Schizosaccharomyces pombe: one gene and its partner. The protein of the gene in region 1 interacts with the protein of each later gene in a biochemical or structural test. Each region holds a gene or a part of one and is shown in the gene's direction. Other genes may lie near its edges.

What was found. The genes of interacting proteins can lie anywhere in the genome.
Region 2: of the proteins of spb1 (region 1) and pch1, one has a biochemical effect on the other in vitro, tested with the Schizosaccharomyces pombe proteins (one study listed by BioGRID).

Annotation. Positions count from the first base shown.
Region 1 is NC_003424.3:920,367-924,126, forward strand, and holds the start of spb1 (rRNA methyltransferase Spb1), read left to right. Parts: upstream 1-1,914; 5' UTR 1,915-1,947; coding exon 1,948-2,017; exon of another isoform or gene 2,018-2,058; coding exon 2,059-2,152; exon of another isoform or gene 2,153-2,204; coding exon 2,205-2,381; exon of another isoform or gene 2,382-2,526; coding exon 2,527-3,760. Other genes in the region: protein mcp1, read left to right, coding at 1-350, 403-1,644. UniProt on the Schizosaccharomyces pombe protein: Required for proper assembly of pre-ribosomal particles during the biogenesis of the 60S ribosomal subunit.
Region 2 is NC_003423.3:2,792,856-2,796,615, forward strand, and holds the start of pch1 (P-TEFB-associated cyclin T Pch1), read left to right. Parts: upstream 1-1,965; 5' UTR 1,966-1,989; intron 1,990-2,054; 5' UTR 2,055-2,110; coding exon 2,111-2,289; intron 2,290-2,346; coding exon 2,347-2,891; exon of another isoform or gene 2,892-2,934; coding exon 2,935-3,239; 3' UTR 3,240-3,460; coding exon of another isoform or gene 3,461-3,760. Other genes in the region: gamma-tubulin Gtb1, read left to right, coding at 47-162, 221-287; protein Cwf12, read right to left, coding at 367-872, 964-1,096, 1,158-1,172; SPOM_SPBC32F12.07C (MARCH family ubiquitin-protein ligase E3), read right to left, coding at 3,461-3,760.

The DNA of each region.
Region 1 (3,760 bases):
ATTTTGTGAACGGTGATTTTGAGGACATATCGGATATAAAGCTTGAGCAGTTGTCAGCAAAATTAAATGAACTTCATCAGATATACAGACTTAGGAAAGAAAAAAACATTGAAATTAAAGAGGAATTAAAAAAACTGCAGGATTCTTTGTCTATAAAACTTAGCATGCCCGCTGATGATTTGTCCAAAAACGGAATAAAGCATTTGATAATTTACAAGGAGAAGCTCAGATTTTCTTTAGAAAGCAGGAAGTCCCGGGTCGATGAAATTGTCAACGAAATGAAAAATATGTGTGGTAAAAACCCGACTTCTGAGTTACCGACCAACTATAGTGATAAAACCTTGACTTTGGTAAGAATTTGATATTTTTATTAAAATAATTATTTTCAAACTAACAATATAGTGGGAAAATGAACTTTCGTCCATGCGAAAAGTGTACTTTGTTAAGTATAAAACTGAATACGAGTTTTTACAAAAAAGGTACCTTTCACTGGCTCGCATAATGTTCGTTTCTAAAAAAGAAATGTTGTTTACATCTCAATTTAAAGAAATACCTAACGTTAATCGAGAATTAATTCAAAGTATGAAACAAGAAATTGGGAACCTAGAAGTTGATCTCCATCTTCAAGGGGAATTGAACAACATGATTAGGCGGTATCTTCTCTTAGAGTCTAGGGTTTATAAAGAATCTCAAAGAATGAAGGTATTGTCTGGATCAGCTTCGCAGCCTTTCACTTTAAAGCGCTTGCAAAAGGATTTTCAATTACTGAAAGCTAAATTAATATGCGCATTAAGGGAGTGGGAGGAGGATAACGAAAAGAAAATTTATGTCTTTGGAAAACCATTGTCTTCAAGATTATTAATGATACATTCTCCACCAATTTTGCAGAATCAAGAGAATATTTCCTCTAATGACAATAGCAAATCTTCACCAGAGTCATCGCCACCTGCGCGGAAAACCACAGGTAAGATCGAAAATAAAAAGTTAAGAAACATTGATGTCCAAAGCAAAAAAAGCATTCGTTTTCCTCTTAGGCTAGCCTCTCATGAAGAGCCGTTAATTGATAGAATGGTTAACCAAAGTCCTGATACTCGAAGTGTTTCGAAAAGTAAGAGATTAGTAAGGGAAACATCTAGTGGTTGCTTATTCAAGAATCATTCTAAAAGTAATACACTTTCCCCTAGGAGGAAAGGCTCTCGGCATGGTCCCAGAGAGCCGTGTTTGTCTCCCGATGCTTCATCTTCGTCGATTCCGGTCACTGATATAAAGGAGATACTTCCTTCGCAGCACGACACACCTCATAACTCTGTCAAGCTTACTGGAAGTTCGACGACTCCTGCTTCTGTGTCGCTTCGTCAAATGATAGAGCCATTGTTATCACGTACTCCTCCCAAAGGTGAATTTACTAATTCACTTGATGATACACCGACTCAGTCTAATGTGGAAAAGGTTGACAGGTTTTTGGAAAACCATGATTGGGAAACGTGTAGTGAATCTTCCTCTGCAAGTGAAGATCAAAGTTTATGTAAACAACTATCTTCTTTTTCACTTTCCAGTAGTGATATCTCAAAGAAGTTAAAAAACAATTTAAATGGGCTACACTTTTCGTCTGATGAAGGTTCTAAACTACCTACTTTTCTATAATTTGTCTCTCGTTACTCTACAATATTTTTTAATATACTTACTATTAATGTATGAATATAATGAAATAATTCGTAATTTTTTTAACTGAGCATTAAAATATTGTAGTATTAACATATTCAAAAGCAATTTTCTCCAATCTTATTTCATACTGTTTAATATTTTTTTATCTTATTCAAAAATAAACAAGATTTTTAATTTTAAGTGCTTTGACAGTATCTTTTCTTTAGTCTATGTTGTAGTGTACTGTACGCTATTTGCCAGTTGCCTTTTGCCTTTCACCAATTTTTGCACCGATAAAACCACATGGGTAAATCACAAAAAAAGACGGCCAAAGGCCGTTTGGATAAATGGTATAAGCTTGCCAAAGAACAAGGTATTTATTAATAGCTACAATGAACACTTTTTAACGTTTAGGGTATCGTTCTCGTGCTGCTTTTAAATTAGTGCAATTGAATCAGAAATATAGTTTCCTTGAAAAAGCTAAAGTCATCATTGATCTTTGTGCTGCGTAAGTTGTATAGTTATTATTCAAAATCCTTTTACACTGACCGTCAAAACAGTCCAGGTGGTTGGTTACAGGTTGCTTCTAAAACATGCAAACCTGGCTCATTAATCGTTGGTGTTGATCTTGCTCCTATTAAACCCATTCCTAATTGCCATACGTTTGTTGAGGATATTACAAGTGATAAATGCAGATCGCAATTGCGTGGATATTTGAAAACTTGGAAAGCTGATGTGTAAGTAATTGATATGCTGCAGGAAGCGGTTAAACGGGTGCAACTATTCTTGTTTCACTTGCAATCTTAGAAATTTGATTGAACTGATTAGAATATTTGTTGCCCATATTGGTTTTTGTCGAATTTTTATTAATGCATTGAGCAGTGTTCTTCATGATGGTGCACCAAATGTTGGTTCTGCATGGTTGCAGGACGCCTATGGACAAGCTCAGTTGGTGCTAATGTCAATGAAATTAGCATGTGAATTTTTGGTTGCTGGTGGTACATTTGTTACAAAAGTTTTTCGTTCAAGGGATTATAATAATCTTTTATGGGTATTCAAACAACTTTTTAATAAAGTTGAGGCTACTAAACCTCCATCTTCTCGTAACGTCTCTGCAGAAATTTTTGTCGTATGTCGTGGGTACAAAGCACCAAAAAAGTTAGATCCTCGCTTTACAGATCCTCGTACCGTTTTCGAAGAAGTCCAAGAGCCAGTTACAAACGTTGATGCAAAAGTGTTCCATCCTGAAAAAAGAAAACGTAGTCGTGAGGGTTACGCTGACGATGATTACACATTACACAAAACTGTCTTGGCATCGGAATTTGTTACCGCAAATGATCCCATTCAAATCCTTGGTACATCCGCTGAAATTGTATTCCCAAAAGATGATGAGGAATGTCAACGCTTATACAATTTAGACGTCACTACTGAAGAAATTCTTTTGTGTTGCTCAGATTTACAAGTATTAGGTAAAAAAGAATTCCGCGATATTTTGAGATGGCGACTGAAAATAAGAGATGAGATGGGTATAGGTAAAAAGGTAGAGGATGAGCAAAAAACAGTGGTTGAGGAGATTCCTGAAATGGATGAAGAAGAGAGACTGGATCAAGAATTACAAGATTTGAGTGAAGCCGAACGTGTTAAACTCAAACGTGAGCGTCGGAAAGCGAATCAGCGTAAACAGCGTGAAATTGTTCGTATGCAAATGGGAATGTTGGCCCCAATGGATATTGGCTTGGAACATGAAGCCATGGGCGAAGACAGTTTGTTTGGTCTAGCAACCGCTGAAAAGCATGGTTTAAAAGAATTGGAAAATGGAACGCTTCCCGTAACTGAATCTGTTGACGAAGAAGTTTCTACGGACAATGAAGTCGAATACGATAGTGACGATGAGCGCGATCGCTTAGAGGCTGACTTGGATTCAATGTATTCTGATTATACTAAACGCAAGGCTGAATCTGATGTGAAATATCGCGTTAAAAAAGCGCGTGGCGATCTTGATGATGAAGAATGGAACGGTATAGATAATGGCACCGAAAGCGATGATTCTCAGATTGCTGAGACGAACTTTGCTACTCCTGATAAAGACAGACTGACAACGTCTTTGTTAGACAAA
Region 2 (3,760 bases), on another chromosome or scaffold:
GTTTCTGCAAATTTTTTTTTGAGACATTTAATACTAATCTTTGTAGTTATTCAAGAGAACACTAGATCAATATGATCGTTTGCGGAAACGAAATGCCTTTTTAGAGCAATATAAAAAGGAGGCTATTTTCGAAGATGATCTTAACGAATTCGATTCTTCTCGGTAAGTATCTTGTCTTATAATTTCATATTTTGAGTTAATTTACTAATGTATTTGACAGCGACGTCGTTGCCGACTTGATCAATGAATACGAAGCTTGTGAAGATCCCAATTATTTATCTCTTTAAAAAATCCTTCATAGTTTACGATGTCAAAGCAGACTTAAAATATAAAATTAATTCTCCTATCCTAGTCCTACTTCATAATCTATGAAATTCTGCTCAGCAAAGCATTTTTACGCCTTTCTAAAAGAATGGCTTCAACATCGTCTCTAGTTGGTATTTGCTCAATGACAAGAGGTTTCCAATCTTGTTCAACTTCATCACCAAGGTTCTCAAGATGTTTATGTTGTTGTTCTTCAATCTTTGCCTCAAAATCTTCTAATAGACTCTCTTGTGCTGGCGGTATGTAACCAAAGTACCAGGCGTCTAACCTTCTTTTCTGCATCTCCTGTTTGCGCTGTCTTTCCGGTATAAAACTCATATCAGCTTCAAAAAGTTCCTTAACGCCAGGTAACTCTCGAGCTCTTCCGTAATAACGATAATCGTCTATATCACTGATTTGTTCTCCTTCATCCTCAAATAGCTTTGCTTTATTATACAGATAATTAATCCCACCCAGATCACGAATTTGTACCTCCCATTCGTGTTTTTCACGCATCAATCGATTAATTGCATCGTTCAAATCTCGAATTTGATATTCAGGCAACGTTGCTATTCATGGTTAGAATACACAGAAATGATAAAAGCGGAATCAAGTTTAGCAAGTTAATTAAATTTGCTAATAAAACAATCTAGGACGTACCACTTTGAATTCGAGAGATCTTGCGAGAGATATCTTTTACTACACTAGCCCTATGTTTTTCACATATCGGCACAGACTTAATGCTTTTTATATCCTTGGGTCTCTTTTCCGTTGGTTTGCTGCCCACTACATACTATAACAAAGGGGTTAGTGACTGACGCTTAGGTTCTCATGCATATTCGTATGAACCTTACTTTCGCTGATGACATTGTAAAATTAAATGAAAATGATAGACTTGGTAATTAAAAAAATAGAGAAGGAAAGGCTCATTAAAATTTGACACAGAAAATAAATAATATAGACAAGTTTTATGGTATTTATCGAAATCAAGGCAAACCCAACACTTAATTAATTGACCTTCAACAGCCAATTCTTATTTAAGTACTTGAAAATTTGCTCAAGTTCCACCGATTGTGAAGACAAGCAAAAAACTTATAAGCAAGAAATTGAATGCATACAAGTAGTTATTTCGTGTAAGAAACACTTTATAAAACGGAAAAGAACAGCCAAAGTGAATAAGCTTATTGAAGCGCAACAAGCTTCTTAATTCATGGATAACGAAGTCCTCTTCTAAAAAAAGTACTAGTCTAAATAGTAACTAAGTATTTTATGTTCACTACAATTAAAGGATGATATTATTGCATAAATGGTCCCTTTCAAAATGATTACCACTTTTAATCCATCGTATTCAATATACTGTCAAGAATTAGGCAATTGTTGATGAAGTAGGTAACATCAATCATTTGGAAAAGTTCATTTCATCTCTTTGGTATCGGCTTTAACCTAAAAAAGAGTTGTTTATAAGAGATTAGCAGAACGATTTATAAGTATACAGTTGATTTTTTGAATATCTTACAAAGACTTAAAATTAAACAATCGTTGAGACCGTCAAAATCGTTAAAACTGACTTACGAATTATTCTAATAATCACTATATTCAATCAACGTAAATGGACAAGCATCGTTGTGGTAGATTTCCCCCTGAAAGATAGTAACCACCCTCCATTCTTCGCATTCTTTAGTTGAGGTATGTTAATTATATACTAAATGATTTACTGTTCTTTGATTTTGCTTATTCTTGCTCAATTATAGTTTGTTTTTAATAATTTGGCGACGGTAATCTCATATATAAAATCGATGAATTTCACATGAGTGAAGTAATAAAATCTGTACCCCCGGGCTCTCAAAACACTTCTCAGTGGATAATAAGTAAAGATCAGTTGGTATTTACTCCATCTGCATTAGATGGGATACCTTTAGATCAAGAAGAAATTCAAAGATCTAAAGGATGCAATTTCATTATAAATGTCGGGCTGAGATTAAAACTGTACGTTAATTACGATGTATCAGTTCAGTAAATTAATGAAACTAACAATAATAACAGACCTCAAACTGCGCTTGCTACTGCTAACATCTATTTCCATCGATTTTATCTTCGATTCTCACTCAAAAATTATCATTATTATGAAGTTGCTGCTACTTGCATTTTCTTGGCAACCAAGGTTGAGGATTCCGTTCGTAAACTTCGCGATATTGTAATTAACTGTGCAAAGGTTGCTCAAAAAAACAGCAATGTTTTGGTTGACGAGCAAACCAAAGAATACTGGCGGTGGAGAGATGTTATCTTGTACACAGAGGAAGTACTGTTAGAAGCTTTATGCTTTGACTTTACGGTTGAACATCCATATCCTTACGTCCTAAGTTTTATCAAAAAATTCGTGGCTGATGATAAAAATGTCACTAAGGTTGCTTGGACATACATTAACGATAGCACTAGAAGTATCGCATGTCTACTTTACTCTCCGAAAACTATAGCTGCTGCAGCATTCCAATTTGCATTAGAAAAGAACGAAATAAATCTCTCTACTACGACTGATGGGCTTCCGGTATGGATGGAAGAGTCTCAAGTTTCTTATGAAGACGTTAAAGGTATATTATATATTTTTTTATAGCCTTAGCACTAACAATGCAGGAGTGTTGACACTAATCGACTCGTTATACAAAAAGATAAACCCTTCCAAACAAGCCCTTCCAATCGACCAAAAAAACGGATCTCATGCTTCCAGCGTAGCTCCTGGGACACCGTCGTCATTGGCTTCCGTCTCGACACAAGCTACCCCTCAACATCAAAATTCATCAGGAAGAACTGACTCATTTCATTCCCTAAACACAGAAACCCCATCAAAAAGTACGGTGGACGACCAAATACTGTCGACAGCCGCCCAGCCAAAAAAATCATCTGATACAGATAAAGAGATGGAGACGGAAGCTTCATAAAAAAGAAAAATAATTCCAGATTGGAAATTTTATAAGTTATAAAAATTATTAATGCTATCAGCATCTTTATATTTATTTTTGGATTCGAATAAATCGATAACACGGTTTTAGAATATTGCTCGTAATAAAAGGCTTAAATTAAGTTCATGAGTATTTTTAAAAAGTAAATGCGTGAAAGAAATATTGCCGGAACTTAACAGTTTGACAACTTCATTGTTTGCTTATGAGTCAGAAACTCTACGAGGATTGTCGAGAATTCGAATGCTCCAGGGTTTTCTCTTTCTCCAAGCAATGAAACCATAGACAAAAATGTCCTTAAAAACTAATGCAGCAAAGGCACCAATAATGCTCTTCTCTAACTTTGTGAAATTCCCTGGAATAAACCTTCCCAAAAATTTCCCTGCTAATGGGAATAGTAGAATCGGTCGAACAATACGGAGAATTTTCGTAGTAAAAGCATCAAGGAAAACGTGTGCCACAGACAAAAGAATCCAAAATTCAGATTCTGTATCTTCTCTTTC